4 linked regions of the Lonchura striata genome follow. The protein of the gene in region 1 purifies or fractionates together with the protein of each later gene. This does not show direct contact. Links are inferred from orthologs where the notes say so. Each region holds a gene or a part of one and is shown on either strand. Other genes may lie near its edges. The genes, in order: TMEM192, CTSD, ACP2 and LAMP1.

The links.
Region 2: the proteins of TMEM192 (region 1) and CTSD purify together in Homo sapiens (affinity purification with western blotting; 3 studies listed by BioGRID, with this or other methods). This does not show direct contact. The link is inferred for Lonchura striata from reciprocal best matches to the Homo sapiens genes TMEM192 and CTSD.
Region 3: the proteins of TMEM192 (region 1) and ACP2 purify together in Homo sapiens (affinity purification with mass spectrometry; 3 studies listed by BioGRID and IntAct, with this or other methods). This does not show direct contact. The link is inferred for Lonchura striata from reciprocal best matches to the Homo sapiens genes TMEM192 and ACP2.
Region 4: the proteins of TMEM192 (region 1) and LAMP1 purify together in Homo sapiens (affinity purification with mass spectrometry; 3 studies listed by BioGRID and IntAct, with this or other methods). This does not show direct contact. The link is inferred for Lonchura striata from reciprocal best matches to the Homo sapiens genes TMEM192 and LAMP1.

Annotation. Positions count from the first base shown.
Region 1 is NC_134606.1:38,857,546-38,865,236, reverse strand, and holds the start of TMEM192 (transmembrane protein 192), read right to left. Parts: upstream 3,010-7,691; 5' UTR 2,930-3,009; coding exon 2,888-2,929; intron 38-2,887; coding exon 1-37.
Region 2 is NC_134608.1:46,500,145-46,507,209, forward strand, and holds the start of CTSD (cathepsin D), read right to left. Parts: upstream 3,005-7,065; 5' UTR 2,858-3,004; coding exon 2,796-2,857; intron 2,347-2,795; coding exon 2,190-2,346; intron 1-2,189. UniProt on the Homo sapiens protein: Acid protease active in intracellular protein breakdown. Plays a role in APP processing following cleavage and activation by ADAM30 which leads to APP degradation.
Region 3 is NC_134608.1:39,107,833-39,115,837, reverse strand, and holds the start of ACP2 (lysosomal acid phosphatase), read left to right. Parts: upstream 1-4,990; 5' UTR 4,991-5,022; coding exon 5,023-5,118; intron 5,119-5,197; coding exon 5,198-5,293; intron 5,294-5,369; coding exon 5,370-5,456; intron 5,457-7,859; coding exon 7,860-8,005.
Region 4 is NC_134604.1:91,477,276-91,484,891, forward strand, and holds the start of LAMP1 (lysosome-associated membrane glycoprotein 1), read right to left. Parts: upstream 3,016-7,616; 5' UTR 2,921-3,015; coding exon 2,884-2,920; intron 1-2,883. UniProt on the Homo sapiens protein: Lysosomal membrane glycoprotein which plays an important role in lysosome biogenesis, lysosomal pH regulation, autophagy and cholesterol homeostasis.

The sequences.
Region 1 (7,691 bases):
GATCATCTTCCAAACTCTGTGTTATTTCCAAGGAACCCTGGAACAGAAGGGGAAGGCAAACAATAGCTCTAAGGTAAGCTCTAAAAGTAAAGCACAGAAGTTTAGGAATTTTCTGTGAGCAAATCAAGCCTTGAGGGAGGAAAACCCCACTAGGTTAGTATCTTGAGAAACCTCTTAAACTCTTGGTAAACATTCATCACATGTGAGAACTCTGTCCCTGAGGAATCCAGCACTAATCTACTTCCTAGTATCACACTGAGCCTTCAGGAACTTCAGTTTTAAAAATGTATAACAAGTATCTGAGCTTCAGACCCCAGAGATGTCAGGAACATGGGAAAAAATAACGAAGTCTTTCTCACATGCTTTATACAGCTACTGCAAAATTCTTTGTTGTTCTTAGTTTTGTCCAACTGCAGTTGGAGGCAACAACAAAGCTGCAGTGTAACAGTAACAGTTTTGAGTATTCAACCTCTAATACTACTGACATGTCAAAACACCTGCAGAAGTAACTAGAGCTCAACTCAAGCAGGAAAGAAGCAGTAGTTCATAGAGGCAAGAAGATGCTACCAAAGTGTTGAGCAAGGCACTGCCTACACTAGAGAGAATGCAGCCTGCCCTTGTCACATTGGAGCCAAGTATTAGTTATTTGCCTTCACATTCAGTTCAAATATAGTGTCTTTTACTAAGTAGAAGATAAAACTAAGTACAAGTGAAGGGAAAAACTTTGGACAAGGAACTTCCCCCACAGCTGTGCATCCCTGCTCCTTTCAGGTCAGGACAAGGCCATTCAATACATATTAAGTGAAACATACACAAGGCACTATGATGGCCAACTGCTACATTTTCTCTTTAGCATCCTGTTATGTCCTTTGCCTCAGAAGAGAAAACAACTCAAGATTTCCACTCAAGTTTTGACTGCTCTTTTTCATATACCAACCAGAGCCCAGAAGAAGACAAGGGCAGACCCCATCCCACTCCAGACTTCTGACTATTCAGATGTGCCACATTTCACCAGACTATTTTCTGATTTATAAACTGAGGACTTCTCTTTGCCATGAGAAAAAGCAGCATAAGCCTCAAGACAAATGAAACATTCCATCCTTCTAGACACTAACACAGGAAGAGAGGGATTACACCTAGGTTTATACCTCATGTCAATGAGGACAATGTAGACTGTCTCCCAAGTGTAATTTCACCTGCAGACAACTGCCTAAAGTGAAGGAAATAGTCATAAAGAGTTATTTCAGTCAACAACCAGTTTTCTTTTAGAACCATGAACAATACACTTGCCCTACCATAGAGGAGTGTGAACAGACCACCCTCAGCTATTAGATACCTTTTAATTAGCCCAGTCTTGGACTGAAAATGACCCTTACTAAAATACCTGCCTGGTAAAATGACCTTTTACTGCACACCTAAATGTTTACAAATGACATTCCTCTTATGTCACTGATATAAAATCCAGAAGCATGAGAGCAAAGATGCCCGCTAGCCCTCCTTCACCCATTTTCACAGGACAGGTGTAATTTTAAGCACTGAAAGCAAGGACCAACACTCCAGCAGCCAAGGCATCTTACCTAATTTTTCAGATTACACATCAGTAAAAAATTGATTATCATGAGGGTGGAGAGACACTGGAACAGTTGCCTGGTAAAGCTACAGATGCCCTATTCCTGGAAGTGCTCAAGGCCAGGCTGGCTTGGCTTTTGAACAAGCTGGTCTAGTGGAAAGTGTTCCTGCCCATGGCAGGGGGGGGTTGGAAATAGATTTTTAAAGAACCTTCAACCCAAACCATTCTATGATCACAGAATCAATAATGGGGTTAACAGCTCACATGTCCCACAAACCCAACAATTCTTCTTAAGACACTATCCTTAGTCTAATGGGAACAAATGATTCACCATTTCTGTATTTCACCATTCCCTTATTTCCATGAGGGATCAGGGCACTCCTTCACAGACAAAACTTTATCAGAGCTTTGACCATGCTACTTTCTCACAAGACTGGCTACAGTCCATCTTTGTAGCCTAAAATACAGCTAGTATTAGGAAGCACTAGATTACATAATCTCTTTAAATAAATTTTATTACAGACAACATGGAGAGGAGGGGAATTAAAGCACAGAATATGATGATCCTATGCAGTCAATCTGTCATGAAGAAAATCCAGTAAGTGTCCTTCCTAACCGGAGTAAACACTGGTTTCATTTCATTAAGATGAGCCAAAACCACAGTTGTCAAAAGCCAAAATGCCTTAAATCCAGACTTGTTTGGCCCTGCTGCTGAGCACAGGTTAAAGCTTTAGCCTCTTGGCTCCCTGCTCCACTTCCAGCATGTGACCGCTTCCACAAGAGCCAGCAGGAGAAGGGCAGGCAGCAACAAGCCACAGCCAGCAAGCCTTGCCCACACCGGCTTCCAGCTAGGGCGGGGAGAAACATTCAAACAAACACAAAAACGCCGTGGTCATGCCAGCGAACAGCACGTAACCCGCCTGCGGAAAAATAACCCAGAAAACCTGAAGCAACCACATGAGCAGCCCCGAATAGAGGCTAATAATCTCGATTAAAAACAAGCCAGGCCCAAACGCCTCGGAGATATTTCAAGCCCGGCTGGGAGGGGCAGCGCAGGGAGCAAGGGGCCGCGGCGGCCTCCTCGCTCCGGAGAGCGGCACCGGGGACGCGCCTGGGCCGGCGGCGGCCGCCGGAAAAAACAGACAAAGCCTGCGGCGGCCGGGACGGAAACAGCCCGGAAGAGGCGGAAGGAAGAGGGCACGGAGCACACGGAGCACACGGCGCTCGCCCGGCGGCGCCCACTCCCAGCGGCAGCGCGGCCGCTCACCCGGGCGGGGTCCCCGCGGCCGCGGCCCCGCTCCCGCCCGCCGCGCTCACGTTGTCCAGGTCCTGCCGCCGCCGCCCCGCCGCCAGCGCCATCGCCGCCTCCCGCCACAGCCGCCCCGGCCGCGTTTAATGGGCACCCCCAGCGCGGCCCCGCCGCCACGGGCTGGCCACGGGCAACGCCGCCCCGCCCCGCCCCGCCCCGCCGGCAGCGCCCCGGCCGCCATTGGGCCCGCGCCGCGCCGGCACCGCCCCGGGACGCGGCCCTGCCCTGCCGGCGCGGGGCCGGGGCCGGGCCGGGGACGGGTCTCAGCCTCAGCCTCAGCCCCAGCCTCAGCCCCAGCCCCAGCCTGAGCTCCCGTCCTGCCGCCCCGGCACGGGTCCGCGCCGCCAGCCCGCCCCGGGAGCGGCGCTGCCCCGTGGCCGTGCTCGGTGCGGTTCTCTCGGCAGCCCGCGACTGAATTCCAAACGGAGACCGCTTCCAGCAGGCTCCGTGTCCCTGCGGGGCCGGGGGTCGGGAGGCAGCGCTGGGAGGGGAAAGTACCCCAGATGGTTGGCCAAAGTGTGGGGTAAAGGCAGCGTAGTGTGGTGTCGGCTTGCAGAGCAGTGTCTTCTCACCTCCAATTGCTCTTGCGGAAAGCATGGAGTCTATACAGCTAGTTACTGTTTCCAGTGGATTTGCCTGCCCCTTCAGATCACAAAAAGTTTTAGCATTCACTTTATACATTTTCTAAGACATTTCTGGGCCTGTTGTATATTTTTGGCAGGAAATGCGTTTTCTTTAAAACGTGTGCTTGGTAATTTCATTTTCCAACCCTTTATGATCATGCTGAGAAAGACTGTGGCCACTCACAGTGTCCAGACTACTCCCTTATGGATCTCTGTGTTACTGACACTGACAGCCTCGTGTATTCTGCATACTCCTCAACCACTTACTTGTGCTTAGTACTTATGTATTTTTGTTAGCCTCTGTGGCATTTTTCAGCTGTAACCTCTCTGGAATGACAAGGATCAGAATGACACTCTGTTTGTTCAAGCATGTGCAAAGTATGAATTTCCAAAGCACCATATTTATTATATGTTATGTGCTCTGTTCATATGCTAATGTTTCTTAACCTTCTGTTTGTTCTATATGAACATCCCCCTTAACCTTCAGCTAATGCTAGTGAGGACTCTGAACAGGGTCAAAGCTGTAACTGGGGGTCTGAAAGACAAGTAAGATTGTATCCTCTCCAGGTTGTGAGTGTTCTATGTATTACTTTAGAGAAGCCAGGACTGTCACCTTGAACAGCTGTAGTGGCTCTGTCTCTCTTGAAAGCATGTTGAGTGCCAAGGGATGAAAACTGCTCTTAAGGTTTGAGCTTCTTCAGAGAAGAAGTTCCAAGTTTTTTTATCTCAGTTTTGGTGACTTTTCCTGGCTTTTTCTAGAAAAAAAATTCTCAACTGAAACCTCGCACCAGATAATTTACATTCATCACTTGCATTCATTTGTTCTTGTTTAATACAGATACACACATTTAATGAACTGGACAACTATCTTAAATTAAAAAGAAGCCTTAAATTTGCTGGTTTGACTGAGATAAAGCCCAGCTCCTCTGATAAGAGCATGCTCTGTTCCAGTTTCTCAGCCTAAATGTTTCTTTTTCCTCCTCCTTATTGTGCTTCCTCTTTTTTTTTTTTTTTTTTTTATTCCTGACAAGAACACAGATCCTACTGATCAGTAAGCAGCTGACAAAAGTTTTCAGTGACAGTGAAGTGAGGCCACAATTTGCATACATATATGCAGTGTGTGTAAGATATGCCATTAGACAAGTGTTTACAATAAAATCAAAAGAAAAAATTCTTCTAACTGTAATTTTAAAATCCTAAAGTCCCAGTAGGTTAACATTTATTAGCACTCATTTGAATAGCTATAACTTTATATATAATTGTAAACATTTTTTTTACTGAATGGGAATTGAAAAGTTCTCAATGGACTATTGAAGAGCACAGGGAAAAATACAAGTTTAAATATTTGAAGTGTGTAAATACTTACTACATACAATATCAGTTAACATATTTAAAAGCATGTGATTGCCAGTTTCAACTGGTTTATGTAAAACATGTATGTATTCTCTACAGTAGTAGTCTGCTTTTGTTCTTAGTAGATCACTCAATCTTTGTTTTGGTTTTGATGTATGATTTTAATTACTAGATTCACAGTATTTTTTTATAGTGAGAGGTTTTAGTGATGTAGATAGGTTCTAATAAAGTAACATTCTCTTCTGGTCCATTCCTGTTCCATCTTGCATCAAATTTTGCAGACATTGTAATATTAGTGTACACAAACTTGCAAGTCTGGCTCCTGAAGGATGATCTAATGCTGGGCAGTCTAAAACAGATAAAGATATGGCATGGTCCTAAATTCTTTCCACTGCAGCTCCCTCAGTAATGATGAAGATATCTGCTAAGGGTTAGATAAAAAGATGTGGTATGGCCCAACAATACTATGCTGCCCTTAGGGAAAGCTCTACTTAGACATTAGATACACAGGAATAAATGCTCTACTTAGGCATTACCTTTGCCATATCCATAATAATTACAATATTTGGGGACTAATTGTCACAATTGTATCCTCACAAAGAGACATAATATCTAATTTTCTTCCTCTCAGTTTCATGTAAAATTTGGCATGAATGGAAACAGGATTGGGCTCACAAACTTTTTCACATTCAGCTATAAGATGTAATTATCATTACTGTTTCTTTTTCATACTACAAGTACAATTAGTACTTAAACTGTATTCAGTTCTATGTATTCAGAATACAGTCTCTGCTCTGAGAATATGAGGTTGTGACAGATCCCCAAATTACTTAAAATATAAATGGGAAGTGAAAAGGTAAAAATAATAGTAGAAAATTTTATTTGCCTGAATTGGCTGTAATAATCCTGAAAGCCATACTGCAGTAAGTGCAGTCTATGTTCTAGCCTCATATTACAGACACTTCAGAAGTACTCATTTTATTTCAAACTCCTGTAAATTTTTTAAATCCTGTGGAGGTTAAAAAACCAGTTCACTGCTGAATATGTTTAATACAAAGGAACCTTTCACTCCATGTATAATTTCAGATTTTCATATCATGTAAGAGTCAAGTTTTTGTGTTGAGCAGCACGGGGCTATTTATGCATGGTAATCATGTAATCAAAAACTGCCACTTGCTATGCAGATTTTGCTTCCTCAATAAAGTGCCCATTAAAAAAATCTGTGGCCTTTAAATGCAAGCTATTAAAAAGAGAGGAGCATTACACTGGTGTTGATAAAAACTCTTTCAGTCGTTCACTGATTAATATACAAATTTGAATGGGTTACTTCAGCTTGTCTATTAGTACAAATGATTTTGCAAAATGTCTTACATATCCATAATGAAGTCCAGAGTTAGGACTGACGAAAAAGGGTAGATAATATGGCTGTAGAAAAAGATTTTGGACTGCTTTATGCAGATGAGACAAAGAGCAAAAGAATAGCAAAGAGAAAAAGTGTAAAAACAGAATGGGCACTCTTGATTACTTAAAAAAAATTTACAGATTTCCTAGATCTATTAAAAAACAAATAGAGGTTAAAGAAATGATACAACTTTTCAATTTCATATCTCCTTTTAAAAATACACACTAGAAGTATAAAGGTTCAGAATTAACTATCCCAATATATTTTACTTTGTGCTAAAATAAGTTTGAGTTTTAAATAGTTTAGCATTTAAGCAAATGCCTAATTTGCAGGGTGAAAATGCAACAAAAAGTACTCCCTATGCAGAGTAATTTTTTCACTTTCTTCCGATTTTTCAAAATCATATTCCTGCTTACATTCTGTTATAAAGCTATCACAATATGACACCTATCTATTTGAACTTTATAAAGGGAAACAGAGCTTTTTATAAAAATATTTGAGTTTAGATTATATACTATTGTAAAAGCAGGTGAACCCGGTGGGAAGAAATGACAATGTCTGACTCTAGTTCAGAAGGCTGAATGATTTCTTTATTTTAACTATCCTAGAATTCATTAATATACTATTTGAAGGAGATACTAAAACTACAAACCTACTTTTTCTAACTACTATATCTAACTCCCTCACAACTCGTGACTCTCTCTCTCATCCAGACACAGGCACAGGTGGATTGGATTTGCCATCAGGCTCAAACAATCCTCACCAGAATCCAATCAAGAAATCACCCTCAGGTAAACAATTCTCCAAACACATTCCACATGAGAAAAACAAGGAGTAGAAATAGAAATTGTTTTCTCTTTCTTTCCTCTGTGCTCCTCTATGAAAAAATCCTGAGAGAGAGAAGAATGTGCCTGCCACAGTATACTTTCTAGGGTAATTTTCTAAAAAAAGAGGAATATTTGAGATAATTACCTTGGGAAAGCTACTGATAAAATTGAAATAAAGACAGAAGATTGAAATTTCAAGGAAAAAATAATTGATTTCCCCTCCCACCCTCTTCCCCCAGTTTTTTTTTTCTCAGTTTTGGGTACAGTTGTCTGAAAATCTTGAAATGAACTTGTCAAGAACTAGCTTGTGTAAAATAACTTTTTAGGCTGTATGGTTAAATATTAACATACCAACAAATATTCTTTTGAATATTTTAAGTTCTGAAGTTCCCAATTTTTTGACCTCAGTATATTAGTTTGGATACCAATGTTCTTCTGCATAGAAATATTGGCAAGGGACTGAAAATTCTGAGTGAAAATTCTCCTCCAGAAACACCATAATAAACTACTAATTCTGTGAGTACTTGCTTATACCAGAATTATTAGACTAAACCTTTTTGTATCTTTGACTTAAATCTCCCCTTCATTTTTTTTCAGTTTACTAGGA
Region 2 (7,065 bases), on another chromosome or scaffold:
GAGGCAGCTAGCTAAAAGCAGGGATTAAAAATCAAAAAAATCTCTTAGGGTTGAACAGAGGATCAGCTTCTTATCTAGACATTGCCCTCCTCTTGGTTTTGGCACCTATGGGTTCCCAGCCTTTTGCCCTCTGGAAGGGAGGTTCCCCTTCAGCGTTCACAACTCATTACAGTGGGTGTGAAAAGGATAAATCGAGGACAAGTGGGATGGGTGCATGCGGGGGAGAACATTTGGGGCATGGAGGCAGAGAAGAGAAGGGGGAAGATCTGCAGGCTAGCATGCAGTTCACTACAGGGATGAGAAAAAATGATGGAAGGAAGCCAAGCAAAACACCTGTGTTATTGAAAAGCTGAAACTGGCTGGGAAGCTGCTTTGCTCGTGTGCTTGCAGAGAAACAGTGAACAGCAGCACTGCCCACTGCAGGTGGAGGTACAGCTGCTGCAGGTTTTGGTGCTTGCTGGTGAGCTCCAGGAATGTGGGGGAATAAACAAATGCTCAGCCTCGAGAGGTGGAAGACTGGAGGAGTGGTGGGAGCAAAGAGCATGAGCAGCATCACCAGAGATGGATTTAGGCCTCCAGGGTGAAAGACTGGGAGAAGTCCCTGTAGCACAGGTATCTGATGGACACATTTTTGCTCTGAGACTACATTTCTGCTGGGACTGGAAAAAACCAGAATGGCTGAGTTGCTGGCAAAGTAACCCTCTCTCCACAGAGGAGAGGATGAATGGAGAATGCTAGGCAGGTGCTACTTGGACTCATTTTTCCCCAAACAGGCAGGGAGCTGTGTCCTGCCTGGTGAGCAGCTGGGTCAGGGCTCTGGAGAAAAGGCTCCTAGCAAGAGAAGTCAGGCAGTAGCCTTTCCAAACCCCACGTGTACTTAATTAAGAGGGGGGGAAGGGAGGAAGGGAAGGAAACAGGATTATCAAAGCTGTTCACCTCCTGTGCGCTTAGTTTGCAAGGCTTGCTCACTAAGTAATTAACAATCCATTGCAACATTGCAATTAGCCATAATGGGGAGGCAGCATTGCTTCCAGTGCTTCTATAATTATTGCTGGGGCTTGAAAATTAACGCCCGGTACAGGGGCTCTGTTTGTCACACACATAGACCCATGAAGGGTCCCAGGACAGGAAGCATATGAGGCAGGCTAGTGGGGCTTGTCCCAAGAATTTATTTGGCAGCAGCAAAAGTATTTTCAGCCTGTCAGGGAGGGATCCAGTGGTCCCTTATCTGCCACCACAGGTTGGATTGGTGCCTCCGTGACAAGGGAAAACAGTGCTGCCCTGAGTGGTGGTCTGAGCTGTGGCTGCAAGAGACAGCACCGTGACACAACCGCTGGCCCTGGCTTTCAACACTGCCAACTGAAACACCGGTGGCCCTTCCCAGGTCAGGACAGCGCTGGCTGGGTGACAACAGTTGCTGGGGAAGGGCAGCAGCGGGAACATGTGCTGAACTAATGCCTAAATATCTGGGCCCAGTTTTATTCTGCCAGCTAATGCTCATATCCTACGCTGCCCCGTAAGGAACCCTGAAATACTAAACCCCACACGTGTCTGGCAGCAGTGCAAGGGCAAACTTCATGCCCTTTATCTCCTTCCGCCACCACCCAGGTCTCTTTGCTCCCTAAGCTGCTGACAAGAAAGTGGAGATAAAGGGTTGCTTTTCCCAGGGCAGTGCAAAAGATGAAGGATAGCGAGAGGAAGGGTCCTGCATCCCCAGTACCATAGTAAGCTAGCATCCTCAGTACCATAGTAAGCTAGCATCCTCAAGGAGTAGAGCATGATTTTTATGCCTCTGCCTTGCCAGAAGTAGAGTTCAAACGGCCAGAAGATGCTAAGAATGATTGTAAGTGAGTAGGCCCCTATTTATGATTGTTAATTAGTGACAAAGGGGAAAGGAAATAGGTCACAAACTGAAAAGCTCCTGCTTGTTGGCAAAGGGTTGTTTGCTGTTGCTGTAATTACTAGTATTAGTATTTTTAGTTTAGTAATGATAGGAAGCGCCTTTTGGTACCCACTCGCTAAGCCATGGAGGTGCATGAATCTGTACTACAGGATCAACTCCTCTGCCTTCCTGGCTGGTGGGAGGCTGGCATGTCTCACCACCCCCTGGGATGGGTACCTCTACAAGTGACATTGTGCTGGGGTCCGCTGCAGTGCAGGGGATGGTCTGCAGGGGGGCTGTTACTCACATCCATGTAGTTCTTCAAAATCTCCGGAGTGGGCTTACCCGCCCCGGCAAAGCCCAGCTTGTACTTGATGGCCTCGGTGATGGAATTCATGTCTGGGATCTCACTGCCCGCCTCTTTCAGGATCCGCCGCATGGAAGGGAACTTGGTCAGGGGGATCCTGTGTGAGGACGGCAAACGCACACCTGTTAAAGAGGGTGTGCAGGGCAAGGATACCTAGGGAAGGGGGGCAGCAGGGCTCCACTCAAAACAGGGAACGCGCCAGGAGGAGGTGGGTGAGGTTTGGGCTCCTGCCAGCACCCTACCCTAGATCCCCCTCGCCGCGCTGCGTTCAGTGTTTCTCCCAAAACCAGAGGACAGGGGGAAAGGCCGGCGGGCTGCCAGAGGCCTCCAGGTGCAGGGGAAGCTGGGGCGAGGCCCCTCCGTGCGCAGGATGGGGGGGATATTCCGAACCTTCCCCTCCTTGCTTTGATGGAGGGGGAGCCACCCGTATGGAGGGCTGCGAGAGGAGCTCGGAGGCCACCGCTGCAGCAGCACCAGGGGGGCTTTTCCCCACGTCCTTCCCAACGCAGGGCGCCCGGCAGCCCCGGAGGAACCCCCTCCCCTCACCTGATGAGGGCGGCGCAGGAGCCGGCCAGGGCGAGCAGCAGGAGGAGGCCGCGGGGGCCCATGGCGGCGATGGCGCTGCTGGCGGTCGGAGGCTGGAGGTCCCGAGCTGAGAGGCCGCGCCGCCGCCGCCGCTCCCCGAGCCTGTTTTTGTAGGCAGAGCGGCCCTCGCCACGGCTCCCGGCGTCAGCTGACGGTCTAAAATTGCACCGGCGGCGTCACGTGAGGGCGGGACGGGGCGGGCGCGGCGGCGGGGCCGGGGGCGCCGCCTCACGGCCCCCCCGGGCTGACCCCCGGCCGTGACTCAGCCCCCGGGAAAGGGGAATAAACACCGGGAAATCGATCACGAGATGCCTGCCCGGCCGCGCGTGCTCCTCCTGCCCTGCCTCCGACTTCCTTCTGCTCGGCTGCCTTTTTGGGTTTTTTTTTGTTCTTCCCAGGTTATCCGGCGTTTTTTTTTCTCCCAGGGGAGTGGGGCGGGGGGGACACAGGACACATGCACAGCGCCAGGCAGCACACCCCGAGTTCCTCGCAGCGCTGGGCCGCTCACGGACCTCGGCCCCAGCCGCTGTCACCACGGCGCTTTCATGGTGCAGCCCCCAGCCCCGTGTTTCTCCCTGCTCTCCGGACACCTCCAGTTTGGGGGACTCATCCCTCCAGTCCCTCTGAGCTGGGTGTTTCTGGAGGAGATGGACATATCCTAGGCCACAGCTTTTTTGGGAGGTGCAGTGGGGGATGTCAAGCTATATCTGCCGCCCCTGAAAATGCTCTGTGGGGGTCCTGTGCTACCTGCAGCCACCGAGAACGATGCCGGTGCAGGGCAGAGCCCGGGGGGACACCAGCCACCAGCAGTCCCCGAGGTCTGCCCCTTCCTCAAAATACAGACTGAGCATTGCGGAGTACCGGGATGGGCTCTTCACCACCACCAGTGTCCTAACAGTGTTCAGAGGTGTCACCCCACCAACTCAGGAGGCCACAGCTAATCTCTCTCCAGTTTGCAACAACAGAGCTCCTACAGAGCCACGAGACTTGCTAGGAAAACAATAAAAATTAAATCAGATTTACAGACATTTTCCCTTCCAAGTCATGAGGGCTGGGAGGGCTTGTTTCCTGCTCCTGCTCGTGCCTAGTCATGGGGATGGGAAAGTAGCAGCTTGTGGGACGAGTTGGACACTGCTGGAGTGGGGGACCCCTAGCTTTGCGATGAGGTTCCCGTCCCTCTCCTGTCACACTTGTGTTCATGCAACTTCTGTAAAATTGCTGGGTCATGTTACTGTCTCCTCACTTGCACCAGCTCCTTCCCATACTCTGTCCCTAAGCCTCTTCAATCCTCCCACGGCCTCACCCTGCTGCTCTGGGTCTGTGCATGCTACCCCCGCAACTGTGATCCATCCTGAGTATTTTTAGAGGGCATTTCTGCCCTGGGCTGCATCTTGTCCCACGAGCTCTCCAAATTGCCACATCTTGGTCAAGCTGATGGGCTTCAGGAAACCTGCTGCCTGCCTGTGGGACACAGCTGCCATTGGGATGAGGTTTTCTGGGGCGATCGCCGGAGGCATTGGCTGGACCGGGTGGGTCCCGTTATTCGGCCAGCACCTGCTTCCTTCCTGCCCCTGCGGGTGTGTGGTCAAGCGAGTGCCACTGACCGTGAGTCAGCAAAGCCCATGGCCCTCCCGGCCCCGCGGCGCTGTGTGACTCAGCAAAACCCCGTGTGGCTCATCGGGCAAGGGGCCAAGGCATAGCGGGGCCGCAGCACCGGTAGCCTGACCCCAGAGGCATTGCTGCTGCCGCTGCTGCTGCTGCTGCTGCTGCTCCAGCTCATGGCTCTCCTCCTCTCATCCCCCTGGATGCTCGTGGGCAGGAGCGGCTCAGACATAAACCAGCCCGACCGTGGCCCCATCTAATCAAATCCACCCTCTTGAAGGGCTCTAAACCCCTTTATAAATGTACTTTGCAGACAAAAAGGACAATCCTGACACCAGCCCAGGCATCCCCTATGTCCCTTACAGGCTTTCCTGGAGCCTCTGGCAGAGCAAGTGAAGTACCAGTCCTCCTCCCTTCTCTTTGAAGTGGCTGGGACACTGTAGCTGGCCAGACAACCTGCGCCTTGGCCCCCAGGCTGGGGCACCTATGGTAGCTCCTCCTCAAGCGTTTCCAGTCTAGCCAGTCTCTGCTAGAATCCCGTGGCTATGGAGTGGGCTCCAGTGTGCAGGGATGGGTCGGTGAGTACAACATGCCATACTAGTCATGTACCATCACACAGTGCACAGCAAAGTGCTTCAGCAGAGTAAAGAACTCTGGACCCAGGCTGTGTCTGTTTTTTTTTTGATTCCAAGGGATTAGAGGCAAGCTTTGCTGTTATGAATGAGCCTTAGCTTGAGCTTCATTATAGCAAGGCTTGTGTCCTCATCTGGGATTGCTCTCATACCAGTGTAAGAAGGTTGCTGCATTTTGAGCTGTTCTAAGTGACTTACATGCCCCATGTTTCCAGTGGTTTACTGGGAAAGAGTGAGAATGGAGCTGTGTCAGGGAATGTTACAAAAGTGATCCTCTCCTGGGTGCTTGCAGGATGGGAAGGGACTGGGGGTCTTATCCCCTGAGTTTTTAATCTGTCTCTGTCCCTTGGCACCAGTAGTTTTGGAGCTGACACTGCAGTACCTGCATGCTGGGAGGCCAGTGGCTCCAGCAAGGAGACAGGATTTCTGCATTCAGGCTCCCTCAGCTCCTCTGTGGAATGTTTGCCCTGATGTTAAAGCATTTAGAAGTACAGTGGGTATGTTTGACCAGGAGCTGGGAGCACGTCTGGGTATTTATAGGCTGAGACCGTGAGAGTTGTACCATATTATCTTAAAAAGATAGAGTAGCACGAGCCTGGTCTTAGAGTTTTTTTACACACTTTTCCTTGTTTGTGGAGCAAACAGGGAGTGCCATGGCTGAGGTATCTAGAGAACCTGTGAGACACAATGGAGGGATCTATCCCTCCTCACTCCTATTTTTGTCGCAGTGGATGAACCCCTTTCCATGCTGCTCTGCCTCCCTAGCCCCCTGCATCCCCTGCGGCTCTGAGGGGTGAACCAGAGCATCTTCCCCTGCAGCCACAGCTGTGGGTGTGGGGTGACACGCCCCTGGGGCCCGGCCATGCTTTCGCAACCTTGGTGCCTGCTTGAGAGGATTCCCAAGGTGGGGTCAAATGACTCAGCTCCAATAGCTCCAGTTGGGAAGAGCACCCCAGCTCTGGGAGATTGGGGTCTCCTCTGCAAGTGACACCTGGCTGTCCCATCTGCCCTTTGCCCCACCGGCAGGGACCTGATGCAGCTTAGTTTATAAACATAGAATACTTTCGGTTGGAAAAGACCTACAAGATAATTGAGCCCAACCATTAACCCAGTACTGCCAAGTCCATCACTAAACCATGTCCCTATGTGCCACAATTGCATGGCTTTGAAATGCCTTTGGCAATGTGATTCCACCATTTTCCTGGCCAGCCTGTTCCAATGCCTTATCACCATTTCAGGGAATGAATTTTTCCAATATCCAGTCTAAAGCTCCCCTGGCACAACTTGAAGCCATTTTGTCTCATCCTGTCACCTGTTACCTGTGGAAACAAGCTCCCACCTCACTGCAGTTCCCTTTCAAGCAGCTGTAGAGAGTGACGAGGTCTCTCCTTAGCCTCCTTTTCTCCAGGCTAAACACCCCCAGCTCCCTCAGCCTCTCCTCATAAGATTTGTCCTCCAGACCCTTCACCAGCTCCACTGCCCTTCTCTGGACATACTCCAGCACCTCAATGACTTTCTTGTAGTGAGGGGCCCAGCACAGGACACAGGACTTGAGGTGCAACCTCACCAGCAGCATTACAGAGGGACAATCCCTGCCCTAGCCCTGCTGGCCACACTATTTTTCATACAGGCCAGGAGGCCACTGGTTTCCTTGGCCACTGGAGCACACTGGCTCATGTTCAGTTTCAAGTGCCTTATTTTTGGGGGGCTCTAGCAGGTCTCTCATTTGCAGTTTGGCAGACCTCTGCCAAGGCTGCTACAGTGGTCTCTTTGTCCTTACATATGGCTCTGTGTTTGCCTTCACCCTTTCCTTAGTGTTTTTTTCCTAAATTTATTTATCACAGCAGCACCAATGTTGTGAACTGCAATGACCTACAGGCCAAGGAAAGCTTCAGCTCAGAGATGTAGGTTTTTTTGCTCAGCTGTGGGGGAGATTTTTAGAGGGTGTCTTCAAATTCAAGAAAATGCATTTCTGATTTTGAAGCTCGTTGCTAGAA
Region 3 (8,005 bases), on another chromosome or scaffold:
CTTGAATCCCACAAGATAGTTCTCCCACTTAGGCACTAGTTTCAGTTCTGCTCAAAACAAGAATTAGATTTCTCATCCTCTACCATTTTCTCTTCATTTCTTCACTGACTTCCCACTAAATAAATATTTTTTTTCCCCTCCTTAAACCTACTGGGAAGATCTGCAATGCTCTGCTCTCCTCTGTGCACTACCTTAGTGAACCTTTGTTCTACCCAAATAAGATTGTTGAAGACATTGACAATGCATACTTCAAAGTGATTTATTATATTACACCAAAATTATGTAAATCACCTTAACATTTTCTTTGTGACACTCCATAAAGCGAGTAATTTTGCTTTACAGGAAATCTGGTTTTGAGATCCCCAGATATAAAAGTACAAGTTACACTAGCTTTAGTGGTGTCTCCCTTTTGGTGGGAACACAAGAAAGAAATTTGTCTAATGTTCCAAATATGGAAAAAAAAGTATTTGGTTACAAGCAGGAAGTCACAGAACAAAATTGACATGGGAATGCTAAAGAAAGCCATTGCATCATTTCTAACTGATATATTTTTAAGGTCTGACTGAACATGGACGGCCTCTTTTCATTTAACAATATTGAACACATCTCTCAAAGATGAAGTAACAACAATGAAAATGTTAAGTCAAACACAGTACTTGTATACTAGCAGAAGTATGATCTAATGACCAAGTTCAACCTGTTTATAAGCCTTAATGCAAACCTGTACCTATCAGAAGGAAACACTCTCCTGAATTCCCTCCTAAGATGAAATTCCTTCACACTGAGACAGTTTCCACAGCCAAGCGAATGTGACTGCCTTCCTGAGTTATTATGCTGTAAGGAAAACACGTTAACACATCCTACAGAAGATCAGCAGAATATTCTCCCCCAACGAAACAAGGTATTTTTGTAGAGAATCATAAAATGGTTTTGAATGGGCCTAAAAAATCCAGTAAGTTCAACCCCCACCACAATGGGCAGGAACGCCTATGACTGTTCTGGAAGACTGACTTTTCTCCAAGGCTGTCAGGTGTGAGAATCTCATTACTTGGCGGGGGAGGGAAAAGAGGGAGAGTGACAAACAATCTGATAAGCTTTCCTATTCAACATGCAAAGACCCACACAGCTGCAACAATGAGACTTTCACAGCAGCTGCCTCCAGAGCAGAAAGTAGGATCATCCTTCAATGCACCCAAGACAAAGCACATTATATTCTATACTCTTCCTTAGAGAGATGGAATCACAACTTCTGAAAAACAGCAACAGTTAAAAGATTTTTAAATTCAAAACTTGAAATTTTGAAAACTTGTCAGTCTTGACAGCCATACATCTAATTAAAAGAGACATATTTCTAAGACGTGAGACCATCACCACTTGATCTAACATTCAACAACAGCAAAATTTCTTCTGATTACCTCAGAACAAGCATGCCGAGTTGCGAGTACTAATCCAAGAAAAAGGAAAAGAAAGAGCAATCAAATGCACATTACCACACTGGAAACACAACTCTTCCTGCAGGTGTAAGACAGGGACAAGGCAGCAAACTCCTGCTGTGTATTTGTACGGCTGCACGCCTGTCCTGCATAGCCTCCCCCTGCCTCCCTGCACAGCCAGCTGGTAAGGAAAACATGCTGACAAGGCACAGCGAGCTGCAGCAGCAGTAACTGGAAACAGCAAGCGAGAGCAACCTCAGGCACACTGCCAGGACACACTAATTCTGTGATAAAGTTTCCTGTCCCTATTTTTTTAGATTAGGCAATTTATATACATACAGTCCCTGCTGTGGTACTTCTCCCTGCATCCCTTCACAACATGAGTAGCTGCAAGTTTCCTCTGGCAGCTACAGAACTCCCATGCAGCTCCACAATGACCCATTTTCTATCCCCCTTCAGGCTAGTTTAGGTTTATTTCCTCCACCTTTTATTCTGGAGGTCTGGGAGAAAGCTGTTAAATATTTTCATCCTGGCTTTTCTCCTGCAAAAGTTGACCTTCCTGTATAAAAAAGAATGCATGGACACATTCATGTATGAGAAAGAAGTGTCACTGCAAGTTCTAGACTCCAAAAAGGGGTCACAACAGGAAGCCACAAGTCTGTCTGCCCTCACAAGCCTTGCAGCAGCAGTATCTTCTGGTGAATATACCACAGGTGTGGTGACAAAGAAGTGTAGCAAGGCCAATCTCCACCTGGTCCTGGCACAATGTGTACCACGTCCAATGCCCTCGTTTCACAACCCAAATGATAGAAGGGTAGAGCTCAGGAACAACTGGCTGTTTGAAAACAGTTTTTGTTTCCCTAATTAAAATATAAGTAATGTTTTTGTACTTCAGCAAGGGGGTTATGTTTTGATTCAGACTCAATTTAAAAAATCAAGCCCACCACTCAGTAAAGGAAATAAAATCCAGGTTTTCTGTTTTCTTTTGTCTGTCGTCAGGTATAGCCCTCTCTCTGACACCCAGGAACAGAAGATCAACTCTAAGTACCTTGGAACACGAAGCAGATCCAAGAAGACTCTTCCCTACAGACAAACATAACCTGCAGTCATAGCCAGAAACTGTCTGACACACAGCGATCCAAATTGTTAGTCAGAAACGTGACTCAGTGTTGGAGACTCCCTCAAAAAAAGCCTTGCAGGGAAGAGCCCAGCTGTCCCTTTAGGAAAAAGAAAAGAAGGGAAGGAATTTTCAGGAGGCAGAGCATTTCTCTTTCACTGGTGATCCAAGGTTTGCTTCCAGCCCATAACGAAATCCTGTCTTGACAGATCTGTGGACTTCAGCAGCATAAGCTTCAGTGAAACGGCACAATGAAGAGTAACCACCAATGTAAGCAAAGTTACCTTTTAACAGCACCATGCAAACCAACAGCCGTACAGAAAAGTTTCTGCCCTAGAAAACTCGTGACCTGGGTTGACAGGATGCAACAGGTGAATGACACAGAGAACTTAAAGTTGAGCAGAGGAAAGCTAACAAGTTACCACAAAGCAAGTAAACATCTCCTGACAGCACGTCCGGAGACGGCAGACAGAAACCCGGGCTCTTCAGATGCACAAGAGCCACTAGAAACTGACACCGCTCCCAAACGCCTCCGACCCCCTTAGCAAAGGGACTCTCCGACAGCGCGCCCTCGGTCCCCGCCGGCAGACACCGCGCATCGCGGCCGGCGCTGGGCTCCGGACCCAGGCCGAGTGACCCCTTCCCTCCCGTCCGCTCTCGGGTGACGCCGCCAGCCCGGCCCGCACCCCGCCGGCCACGGGTGCCTCAGCGGGACGGGCCGCCGCCGTCCCTCTTCCTTCCAGCACCTTCCAGCGCCGCTCGGCCCGGCCCGGCCCGGCCGGCAGCACGGCGCGGGCGGGCGGCGCTACGCCGCCGGCTCCGGGTCCAAGGAACGCGGCGGCTCTCGGGCCGGCGCAGGCCGCGGGGCGGGACGGCGCGTCCACGTCCCCCGCCGTGACTCACGGCCCCGCGGGCGGCGAGGAGGAGACGCCGCCGCCCCCAGAGCCAGCGCGGAAAGTTACCGGCGCGGGCCGCGGCTCCCGGCGACGCGCGGCCGCCGCCCCCCGTAGCGCCGGTGGCCGAGCCGCGGGCGGGAGGGGCGGCCCGGCCCGGCGCTGCTCCCGGCGCTGCTCCCGGCGCTCTTCCCGGCGCCGCGGCGGAGCTGCCGTGATGTCACGCGGACCCGGGTCACGTGCAGGCGCCGCCCGCCCCGCTCCGCCCCCACGGGTCCCGCGGGGCGCGAAGGCTCCGGGCGCGGGTGACTCCCGGGCGGCGGGACCGCAGCCCCTCCCGCCGGCCTCGCCGCCTGCCCGCCCGCAGCCGAGCCCGCAGCGGCGGAGCAAAACCAGCAGCAACGACAGAACAATCCCAAAGAAGGTGCCGCAGGAACAGCGCGCGTTCTCCTTCCGCAGAGAACCTTCTCCTTCCAGCACTCGCCAGGAACTTCCTCAGTGGTGCGGTATCGGTAAACAAAGAAAAAAAAAAAAAAAGAATGCGGCTTCGTGCTGTCCTACAGATAGGAAACGTAATTCAGTTTAAATTCACTAAGCATTCGAGCATGAGCAAATTAAACACGTTATTCTGTCCAGCTGAGCCTCGTGTATTGCACCAATCCTGTCCTGAAATAACCCGCTTGCTTCACAAACAATCTGGCACCCTCAAGTTACATGCCTCGAATGCTTATGATGCAGGGGGCTGCTCTGGGATAAGGTTTGGCTTGAATTATTGAGACCTTACACACAACTTTCTGACGCTGCAAATTCATGCCTCCCAAGACTTCCTTGCAAACGCGAGAGCCATGTTTCCTTCTTTTCTTAAAAAAGAGAAAGCCGAGAACCTCATTCACCGCCCTCTATGCACTTCTTAGTGGAGATAAATACTAAGTAGCACTAAATTGGTTTAAATGCCTATGATTTTTCTCTAAACACGGCACCTACGAGATCCTCGGCCAACGATGCCGATGCAGAAGCCGGGTTTCGTCTCACACTCATCTAATTCGACTAAGTTTCGTAAAGAACAACCAAAACCGGGCAAAACCTGCCAAGGCTGGGCAGCCTCTTTGCCCAGGGCCAGGAGCAGCAGGAGCTTTCCATTCCACACGGGCATCCTGAGGCTGACCCGAGAGATGCGACGATTAGCGACCCACGGCTGCCGGGCATTGCGTGCCAGGCCTCCTTCCCTACTCCTGCCCACGAGTTCGCCCGGGACCACACGCACAGCGCCAGAACGCTACGAAACCTCGCGTCCTCGAGCGAAGCTGCGGCGGCGGTGACACCGCTGCGCCCTCATTCCCGCCGCTCCTACCGAGCGCCTCCGGGGCGAAGCACCGCAGGGCCGACAGCGGAGGTCAGCGCCGGCCCCGCGGGCCCGACGCGGCCGCTCAGGGCGCCGAGCGGGGCTGTCCCGCCGCCGAGATCCTCCTCCTCGGGGGCGGGCGCAGCGCCGGGAGCGCGGCCGGGGCTGTGCGCTGCGGAACCCCGTCCGCGCGGGCCGGCGGCCGCGGCGCTCGGTTCCGGGCGGTGTGCGAGCGCCATGGCGGGCGGGCGGGGCGGTGCCGTCCTGCTGCTCCTGGCGCTGTGTCTGCAGCCGCCGCCCGCCCGGGCCCGCAGCCTCCGCTTCGTGACGCTGGTGAGGGGGACGGGGGTACGGGGGCCGGGCCGGGCCGGGATGGCCGGGCCGGGCCGGGGTGACTTGGTGCCGCCCGCAGGTGTACCGGCACGGAGACCGCTCGCCCATCAAGGCCTTCCCGCGAGATCCGCACCAGGAGAGCGCCTGGCCCCAGGGATTCGGGCAGCTCACGCAGGTGCGGGGCGAGGCGGGGCGGGCGGCGGGGGCCGGGCCGGGGTCCGGACCGCCGGTGACGCCCGGTGCCGTTGCAGGTGGGGATGCGGCAGCAGTGGGAGCTGGGCCAGGCCCTGCGGCGGCGCTACCGCGACTTCCTCAGCGACGCGTACCGGCGGCAGGAGGTCAGTGCCAGCCTCGCGGCTCGGCGGGCCGGGGCTGCGGGTGGCTCCTTTGGGAAAGGAAACGCCGGCGCCGGGACTCGTCTCCCAAGTATTTTCGTTCCTTAGCCCGTTCCCACTGCAGGAAAAAGAAGGGCCCAAGCGCAGGCTCTGTGCTGAGTCTGGCCGCGGGGCACGGATCGACCCTGTCTCAGCGCTGCCCTCGCAGCGGATGTGAAGGCAAATCCAGCCAGAGCTGTGAGACTGCTCGAGCTGCCCACTCTGAAGCCCAGGGAACTAAAGAGCAATGTTTGTTGTAGTTGGTATTTGTTTCTTACTGAAGCTTGTGAGATTTTTTTTTTTTTCTGTTACAATAGCTCACAGCAATGCAGCCCGTGTTGGCCCTGCTCTCCCCGGTGCACTTGAGGTACAATCTTACCAGAGCCTGTAAATATTAGTAGTAATTACTGACCAGCAATGACCCTCTCATTTCCTTTCAACTGTAAAGTATTGACAGCTATAGTTACCCAAAGCTATTCATTCCTCTCTCTCTCATTAGGATGTCCACACACTTTATAACAGTTCTTGAGAAACCGGTAGGTTTCTTTTGGAAAAAGTCATAGAGACCGTGTGAAACTGTGTACTAAGCACAGGTGAAATTATAAAAGATAAAGAAAAGTAAGGAAATCAAAAATCCTCCCAAGTACCTCTGCTAATAATCAACTGGTACTGAGTCAATTGAAACATGAACTGGTGTCCAGATGAGAAGCTGGTTCAGATGGACAGCAGGCAGCCAAGGCCCCTTGTCCCACTACAGGCTCTGCACTACTTCAGTTATTTTATCTGAGCTCAATTAAGCTGATTGAACAGATGGGGCAAACTAAGAATCCCCATACACTTTTCCTTGTTTCTCCCCTACTAGGCTTCCCAGTAAGAACACAGTTTGTCACAATTCAGATTACGTCCCTTCTTTGACATTTACCTCATCAACAAAACTTCCAGCATTGGCTCAAACACAGATCCTTTAATTATACTCAGTATTTTCTTTACAAACATACTTCACTCATATACAGTTTCTGCAAGTTGGAGCTCTTTTCCTTTTCTTGCTTGAGAAAGAAAAACAAACAAAGTTTTGTGCAAACAAAAGCTGTTCTGCTAACCAAGCCTGAACCCTCGTTCAAGTTGAGCAACCTCCCTTGTAAGAAGTGTTGCCTCTGGGTGACACCATATGACCGTCTGTCACCTGACTCAGCGACAAGCTGGAGCCTGGCAAAAGGTGCTGAAGAAAGCATGTACACTCAGGGCTTAATTGCTTGGGGTTTTTATGATACTCCTAGAATTAGGTCCTTATCTTTTAAAATATTTCATTTCTTCAGAGCTTATCAAGGACAAAAGCAAATCTGTCTAATGAGTACAGGGTCAGTTTTTTCAAGCCACTGTTAAGAGGTAAAAGAGGGCAGACATTGATGTTAGAGAAAGGACCAGTTGAGTTTTTTTCTTGTGACTGTAAGGTTCTGAGGTACACTTCACATGAGAGAGATTATACAGAGTATATGTATTTTATGTTTCCCTCCTAACACTTAAAAAAAAAATCACTATCTTTATATTTCATTCTTCAGGCTTTTTGTTCTTGTTTCGGATCAAACATGCTGTTTCCTGGGACATTCTTTTATGATTTCCTGTTGTTCCTCTTGTTTTATTACCAGTTTCTCCAGTTTCCCCTTAACTGTTTTCAGTACACAGATAGCAGAACACTAAAGTTTTGCCATTTTGACCTCCTGAACATTGCTGTATTTTTCTCATTTCTCCTTTTTTCTGGCTCAGAGCTCTCTCTTCTGAGCTCTAGAATGGTCAAGTCTTGGCCCATTAATCCCAAGAGCCCACAATGATCAGGTAAAATCCCAGCCCTCCCTGTTTTTGTTTACTCTCCTGTTAGTCAGATCACTCTTGTCTTTGTTTCTCAGATGGAAAAATTGAGGCTTGAAGAAGCCATTTCTTTTCCTGAGCACAGTCAGTCGTTCCTAGAACCGACAACAGAATGCAGGAGTATTTGCCTCAGTTCTGCTCTGTAAATATAGCACATTTCCTATCTGTACCCATAATTTTCTGCATCCTTGTCTTCCTCTTCTCTGACCCTTCCTCAGACTCAGACTCCTTTCTATCTCTAACCTCTGCACACTGCACCTGGGTATCTCGTTGATCCAGACCAGACAGCTCCAGTATTAGACACCAGATTGCCTTCGTGTGTCTTTACAGTTTTGTCCAGGCCAACATCAGCAGGCTTGGTCCCTTTAACTCTTATTCCCCTGTTGTCCATGAGCAGCTGCAGGGCACTTGACAGTGTTCCTGGGCGAGTGCACCAGCCTGTGCCTGAGCATCACCACTTGCAGGAGCATTAGTAATGATGCACTGTCCCTGTCCTGGCAGATCTTCATCCGCAGCACAGACTGTGATCGGACGCTGATGAGTGCAGAGGCCAATCTGGCAGGCCTGTATCCCCCAAGAGGACAAGAGATGTTCAACCCTAACATCTCCTGGCAGCCTATCCCTGTGCACACAGTCCCTGAGTCTGA
Region 4 (7,616 bases), on another chromosome or scaffold:
CCCAAAAGTGTCTTCTGCCAAGTTTAAGAGAACACATACCAAAAAATCCATTTCAGCACCAAGCACCAAAGACAAACTGTTGAAGCTGAAACAAGCAAAAGCGAGGTGTGCCTTTTGCTAGAAACAAACTTTTATCTTTGAGACCTACAAAGGCTTATCAGAGGTAATAGCAGTTAATGTTGCAACAAAGCTCAATCAATCTTTAAGTCAGGTTCCTCTGTACTTAGAGGCAATTCTTCGCTTTGTCATCTGCTACTGAGTAGAAAACATCCTAATCGCTACAGAACAATCTAGAAGCAGGTTACATGACAAATAAAACTCCTTGGTCAGCCTGAACAGAAACCTTGGAAACATATCTGAAAAGTGGTAAGCCAGGGAATCTGCAGAGTTCTCAGCAAGCAAGAAGTTACTTCATGAGTCAAAAAAGCTGATGAAGTCAAAGCCAAATAACCTATCACATGATGACTGGCACACTAATTCAGATCCTTAGAGACTGTGTCAACACACTTCAAGCAGCTATCAAGCAAACATTGTGTCAAGGGCAGCAATTGGTAAAACAGTATTTCCAAAGTTGCTCAACATTAAAGCAGTTAGATTTTGTGAAAACCAAGTTATACTGGTCTCAGTTTCAAATGCCCAATAATGCCAAACTTGAAAAAAACAATTCAGCACCATATTGCTCTCACTGGCTGGAATTCATTATCAAGTTTCTCAACTATCTCTATATCGGTAGCAAGGTTTGAAATTCCTCTTTGGACTAGAGTTGCACAACAGAAACATGTGGATTATACGTCAGTGACTCTGAAATGGCATCACGCTATCTTGAAAAACTAATTTTCCCTTCTGCAATTCTCAAACACTTCATTTTTTATTCACTACACAGGTCTGATTCTAATCTTAATTTTTCAGGAAAGTGTTCTCTGATGTGTCTGTGTTTCAGTAATGAAGAAATGTACGGGTACTCTAGATCTCAGAGAGCACAAGCAGCTCTGTTGGGTTTGGCACACAACCCAACTGACTCATCATGCTCAACAACAAAAAAGCACCATCTTACTCAGTATTTCAAAAAGCAGCAGCTAAGTTATGGGGAGGTACTTCAATTTCCCATAGCCCCCTTTCCCTGCATGTACCATACACTACCTAAATGTTGTCTTAATTCCATATGTATATTTGATGGTAGTGAGAAAATTAATTACAAAATACTCAATGCTGACACATGAAACATTCAGCTTAGTGCTTGCTGCTCAATCTAAATAGAAAACTGAGACAGTAAGTGAGGTATGGTGAGGTATTCAAGTGGAAAAAATATTCTGTTGTCCTGAAGTCAAGGCATCACCAAACAAGTTTCCATGTCTGCTCCACCCATACTAATCTTTCAGCCTCCTGTGATGATGACCTTATCCTAACCAGTGTTAACTCAGATGATTAAAAGGCTGCAAATGAGCTAGAATACCCAAAGACTTCAGCTCATATATTATCTTTACCTCTTATTCTTCTCCCCTCACCTACAACCCAAACACCACACTCTAGCAAGAAAGGGTCACTATTTGCACCACAAGATCCTTCCCCAAGACTGTAGTACAAAGCTATGCAGAAACACACAGCTATTAAACACTAGTACAAAGTCCCAACTATCAGTAAATAAAATAAAAAAAAAAATTAAAAATCTGTGGTAAAATGAGCTATTCTATTGCCTTGGTTGCAGAAAACTAACACATCTTACATGCCAGAAAGTGACAAAGATAGCGAACCAAATGATGCTTGCAACTGCCAATTAAGCAAAGGAAGACTACTGCAATGGCCAAAAGTATTAACTGTGCTACCACATAAAAATCACAAAAGCTAATTTGAAAGCAAACTATAAAGCAATTCTTCATTTAAGTCGTAACTATATTTAACTAACTATTCAAGTAATTCTCACTATGACACCAGTTCAACAACACTTCAGCTGGCAGCCCTAAAAATCACTGTGCTTGCTACACTGCCTCACGAGAGCTGGATATTTGAACTGCTCAGTGCCCTTTGTGAGTGGCATCTTCTGGGCTCAGTGAAACTGAAGCACGGTCAATGGCGATAACGATATTTAGTACCAAAGAGACGTTACAGGAGTCGCAAAGACTGTCCTAGCTCAAAAATGATGGCAGATAAGCATTCTCAACTGCTACTCTATTTGGGAAATATTTTGACCAGCCGCTGAACAAGTTTCCTTTGCTGCCAAAGCCACATCTCAGAAACCTGATAGTGTTGTGTGATGTGGCTTTCAAGACAAGAAACCAAAACCAAGGTAGCTATCAGTAAACAAGCAAGGCACACTTCCTCGTAAAACAGCCTTGCTGACCTAACAAACCTTCTCATCAAGGCACTGAAATCGCTCTATTCCGGACACGTTTCATATTTTGCTCAAAACAGGGTAAGAAGAAAGCCATTAGCAACGGAGCACGACATTCCCTATAGAAAAGCGCTGCTTCCTAGCAATGACATCAGTAGCCCCCACGTCTCCAAGCCTCGTGCTCCAGGCGCGTTTCCAGGTTCCTCCCGGAGCGCAGTCCCGCACCCAGCGCAGGTGCTCGGAGCGGCGCTGCCGGGCGTGCCGCGGGTCAGCCGCCGCCGCACGCCCCTCAGCGCCCCGTACCCCCGGCGGCCCTCAGAGGCTCCCGGGTGCCACAGGCCCGGCGCGGGGAGGGGGGGATGGCCCCGAGAGCCCTTAGCCCCCGCGGGTCAGCCAGCCCCCGGGAAGGCACAGCAGGGGGAGCGGACGGGCGGAAGGGTCTCCAGTTACAGCTGCGTCGTCCAGCGCCGCCGGCCCCGGGGCCGCCTCAGGCCGCTGCGACCCGCCCCCGCCACTCCGCCGATCGCACGGGCCACCCGCTTCCCCCTCCTTACCGAGCAAGGCGGCCGCCGCCAGCAGCCCCCGGGCCATGTCGGGGTGCAGGGACGGGGCGCAGGGACGGGGCGCGGCGGGAGCGGGCACGGACCGGGAGCGGGGCGGCGGCGGCTCCGCGCTCGGGGCGCTCTGGCGACGGCCCCGGCCGGTCATGTGACCGCTGACGTCACGCGGGCGGGCCGTCCGTCACGTGACGCGGGCGGCGCTGCGGTGGGCGGGTCTCGCGAGAGCGGGGCCGTGACCCGCCGAGCCCCGAGATCGGCGGCGGGCCGGGGCGCCTGCGGTCCTCTCGCACAGAATTCATCCACCCCCAGCTGTAGAGAAACACTGGGAGTTATGCTCTGTTGTCTCTGAAGTGCTCTATCTGTATATACCCAGCTATACATATAAGCCACGTGTGTTCCAAGACAAAATAGGGGCTGCTAATGACGCGTGTTCGCATCTCACTTGTGCCGGGCGCTGGCATACATACCCACTTCATAACTACATTAAGTTGTGGAGTCAATTTATTTATTCCGCGTATCGCTTCATTGTAAAAGTTGTAATTTCACATAGCTTCAGATGTCTGATGGTTTTTAAGGAATCCCTTTTCTCTTTTTTTTGGGAAAACCAGAAAAGGTGAAGTTACCTTGTAAACGTTCTCAGATGTAAGGGAGATGGACAGCCCAGGTTATTTGATCACGTTGTAATCCAATGCTCTCTTTTATCCACACTGTTAGGGATATGCCTACTTCATCTGAGACCTCAGAAGCTCCTGCAATCCCGTTCCCAGTACGATTGGAACGTGTGCCAGTAGCAGCGTGCCTCTGCTTTCTCACAATGACGGCCACAGAGTCCCTCTCCTCACTACAGGCTGCTCCAGGTTAATCGTCTCCGAGGCACACTGATTTCTGCTCCCAAGCTGCCTTCATACGTTTTTACACGGAACCCATTTGAAACGGAATTTAGCTATTCCCAGCTGCTAAAGTCAAGTTCAGCTACTGTGAACTTGACCCTTCCTTGCTGCTTGTCTCAGTTCACTTACAGGTCATGTTTCCCCAAAACATCCTGGATAAGTTCAGTTGGTCCTTAGGAGGGCATGGGGATCTAGTTTTCATTTTTAATGTTATTGCTATAAACACATATTTCTTTTTAATGCTGCATTTTTATCTGTGTATTTTTACACACAGTAATGTATTATTTTAGTTTGTTTTACCCTGCAACACTTCCAGCAATCTTTATTCTTTCCATGCATTGTCAAAAGCAGAACTTAGTTTGAAAAAGGACATAATGAGCAGCTCTGGTCAAGTGTTTGAATGACTCATCTGCAGAGGAGTTGAGGGCAATGGAGGTGGGACATGGGTTGTTCTCATTTTGGATCACTGTTTTTGGAACCTGCACTGGGAATGGAGGAAGGTCTGCAAAACAGAGTCTGCCACAAGACAAATGGGGAGGGAGATCCAAGGTTTAAACTTGGTGTGCAGTATTTTGCCTCCCTGCTGGAAAATCAGTAGGCATCTCTGAATGGAGAAATGGCAGATGCTTGGATTGGTAACAAAAAAAAAAAAAAAAAAATTATATATATAAGTTGCATAAAGCAACAATACTGTGGTAAAATTTGGTAAGTAAAGAACTTAAGGTTATCAGAAGAGAATGATGTGGACATTCCATAATGTGGATCATTAGCTCACTGGGCCTTTTATTAATGGTGTGGAGACAGCACCATATCAATTTCCACCTCCTTTCAATACAGGTACTATCAGGGTGTTGGTTAGACAAATGCATCAAGTCTTGCACAACAATGCTGGCCATCAGCCCCACTGCTTGGTAACTTGTTGGCTGACATCAATCAAACATGATAGCAGGGTAAGACATAAAGTCAAAGCTTCTGTAAAAGCTGCTATATACACAGCCAGATTAGTGCTGTCACTGAGGGAAAGGAAATGTAGTCCATACCCAGCCACTACACGTCATCTGACAGAGCTGCAGGCCAACCAGCCTGCTCACAGGCCCAGGCAGGAACCAGGATGCACTCCCTGGCCTTTCTTTAGAGCCATGGATGCAGAATGGGCTGCTCATGGGAAACACCCAGGAGAGTTAGGAGCCATTACTACAGTAAAAACCATCCTGTGAGGCCAAGGCAGAGTACAAGCAAGGGAGACAGTGTATAGGCTAGGAGATTTTACAAGGAAAGAATTTCCACAAAACATGACTATTTTCCTGCTGACCACACTATTGTTGATACAGGCCAGGATGCCACTGGCCTTCTTGGCCACTTGGGCATTGCTGGCTCATGTTCAGCTGCTGCCACCAGCACCCCCAGGTCCTTTTCCACTGGGCAGCTTCCCAAGCACTCAGTCCCTCTGCCTCAAGCAGTGCATAGGTAGAGCTGTGTAACAAATTAAGACATTGAAGTTGCCTAAAAGGTGTGTAGTATTTTTTTTCAAAAATGTATAGCACAAAGATAAGATGAAAAAGCTGCAGCTGATCAAGAGATATAAGTGCTAAACCCAGGTTCAGCTAAAGGAATCCAGGGAAAGCTAAAATATAGAGCCTAAGAAAAAAAGCCTCAAGGAAAGGGCAGAGAGGAGGCTGTTGGCTGGTTAAGGAGAGCTGTAACTGCCAGGCTTGGGAAGCGCTTTTAAGTCAGGCCCCAGCCTACATTCTCACACTTGCTTTCCCTCAGGAACTGTTGGGTTAGATAACAGTGTGTCACATTTAGGAAAATTGCTTTTTAAATGTATATAATGTATGTTTGGATAAGTTAGAGCCCCAGGCTGTATCCAGGCCCCTGCTGTTATTTTTGTCATTCCATAGAAGCTGCTATACCATTTGTTTTAAGGACACTGAACTGCCAAGATCCAGGTTTCCCTGACATACCTGAACATTGATGCTCTATAGAGGACATCTGTTACTTTGCTACTGCCCAACACCTTCAACACTGGGTGATCTTCCAGGAAGACAGGTACATTCAGACAATGTGACCCCAAAGAACTGACTGACTGAGGCAGACTGCTCAGCCAAATTCTATCACCAGCTACTGAAAAGCAATCAAGTGTAGCTATTTCACTATGGAGAAGTGATTTGCATGCTGACTCATAAAATAGCTGCTTACCTGTTTGGTTTAGCACATAAAATGTCCCAGTAACAAAGATTTGAGGAAATCAAATTAAAAATGAGGACCTGAGAAAAAGTTACCATTACCTTGCCCGTCAGTCTCTCACAAAGCTTTTGAACCTCTGAAACCACTTGCAGACCAGTCTTGAAAAGTCTTCAGAGATCATGACATTTTCTGTAGGTTCAAGCAGGTAGAGGGGATGGGTAGAATTGAGCAGTTGATGAGGGACAAAACCCCCACCCCCACAAGCAGAAAGGCAGAACCAAGGACAACTCCTCTTGAGTACTGCTGCTTCAGGTTATTTGCAGGGGATGATACAGTTGGATACCAAGGGCATACAGCACAGAAAGACAGGCTTCATAATTTCCACTGCTGTGGAACAATTAATTTTTAATTGCTAAACCAGAATAACATGGCCAATGAGCCCTCAGTCTGTGGCAATTAAGAAAAACTGCACATCTCAGCACTTTTAATTAACATTGCTTCTTGAAGCAGAACCATTTCAGTCATCTTCAGGATAACACCACTGCTTTAAGCTATTGTTTAAAACTACTGAACCAGAACATTTGGGTTCAGAAGGGGCAGGCACTACATTCTCACTGCTTCCTAACAGCTACTGCACACTACTGCCAGCTTTCAGTGTGGATGAAGGCTCTCTGGCCATTACCTTTCTGTGAGGCACATATTCCTTTTTGGTTTAGAAGTCTGGTAAGATGGATCTGATTGGTTTCCATATACATAAAAAGTGAACGGTATAGCACTAAAAAAAAAAATCTCAAAAAAGTGCCACATTCTCACAATGGCTAAGAAATTAATACTTAATATGCATCAAAGATTTTATTTGCATTAACTGAAGATTCAAATATTAAAATAAGTCTGCATTAAATTATAATATTAAATATGCTTTAAATACAATAAACTAAACATGTTTAGTCTCCAAACACAAGGGAACAAAAATAATTCAGAATGCAATAAAATTAATAACACCAGAGGACAGAATAAGGACTTTTAATATGCAGTTCCACAAGTTGTCACCTCATAGCTTTGTTTACTTTAAGAAGTGGCCTTTTAATTGATGCACAAACCCCACGTTACATAAACTTAGTAAGGTATCTCTCAAGAAAATATTGCTTAGGTAAATTCTCCTTTATGTAGTGATGAAAACTCCTTTGGTAGCTCTTTTTCAAAATGAAGCATACCAGTAGACAAGTCAGGAAAATAAACAGTCTTGCAAGCATTGCCAATAAAGGTATCTTCCTTACAGTTATCTAACAGATCTACAGTGTCTTTCACTCTTTAATTCAAATCAACTTACATATGTACAATATGTAACAAAGTACTCACAAAGTCCTTAAGTCTTTCAAGACAAAAAGCTATGCTTCCCCAATATTGAGACCACAAAAGTATTTTTTAAAAAAAGTTTTTGTTTTCTTAAAGTAGAGCACGCTGTACAGTAGGTTCCCTGGATGTTATTTTCAAGGCAGAACTCAATGTTACGGCAATTACAGAAACAGTGAAATACACCTGCTGCCCTAAAATGAGGTAGGGCCTCATTGACTCAGATCTAATCTTCACCACCCAAGCCAGCAGAAGTAGTAATAATAGAACAATCCATATTTTAGCTAAATAATCCAA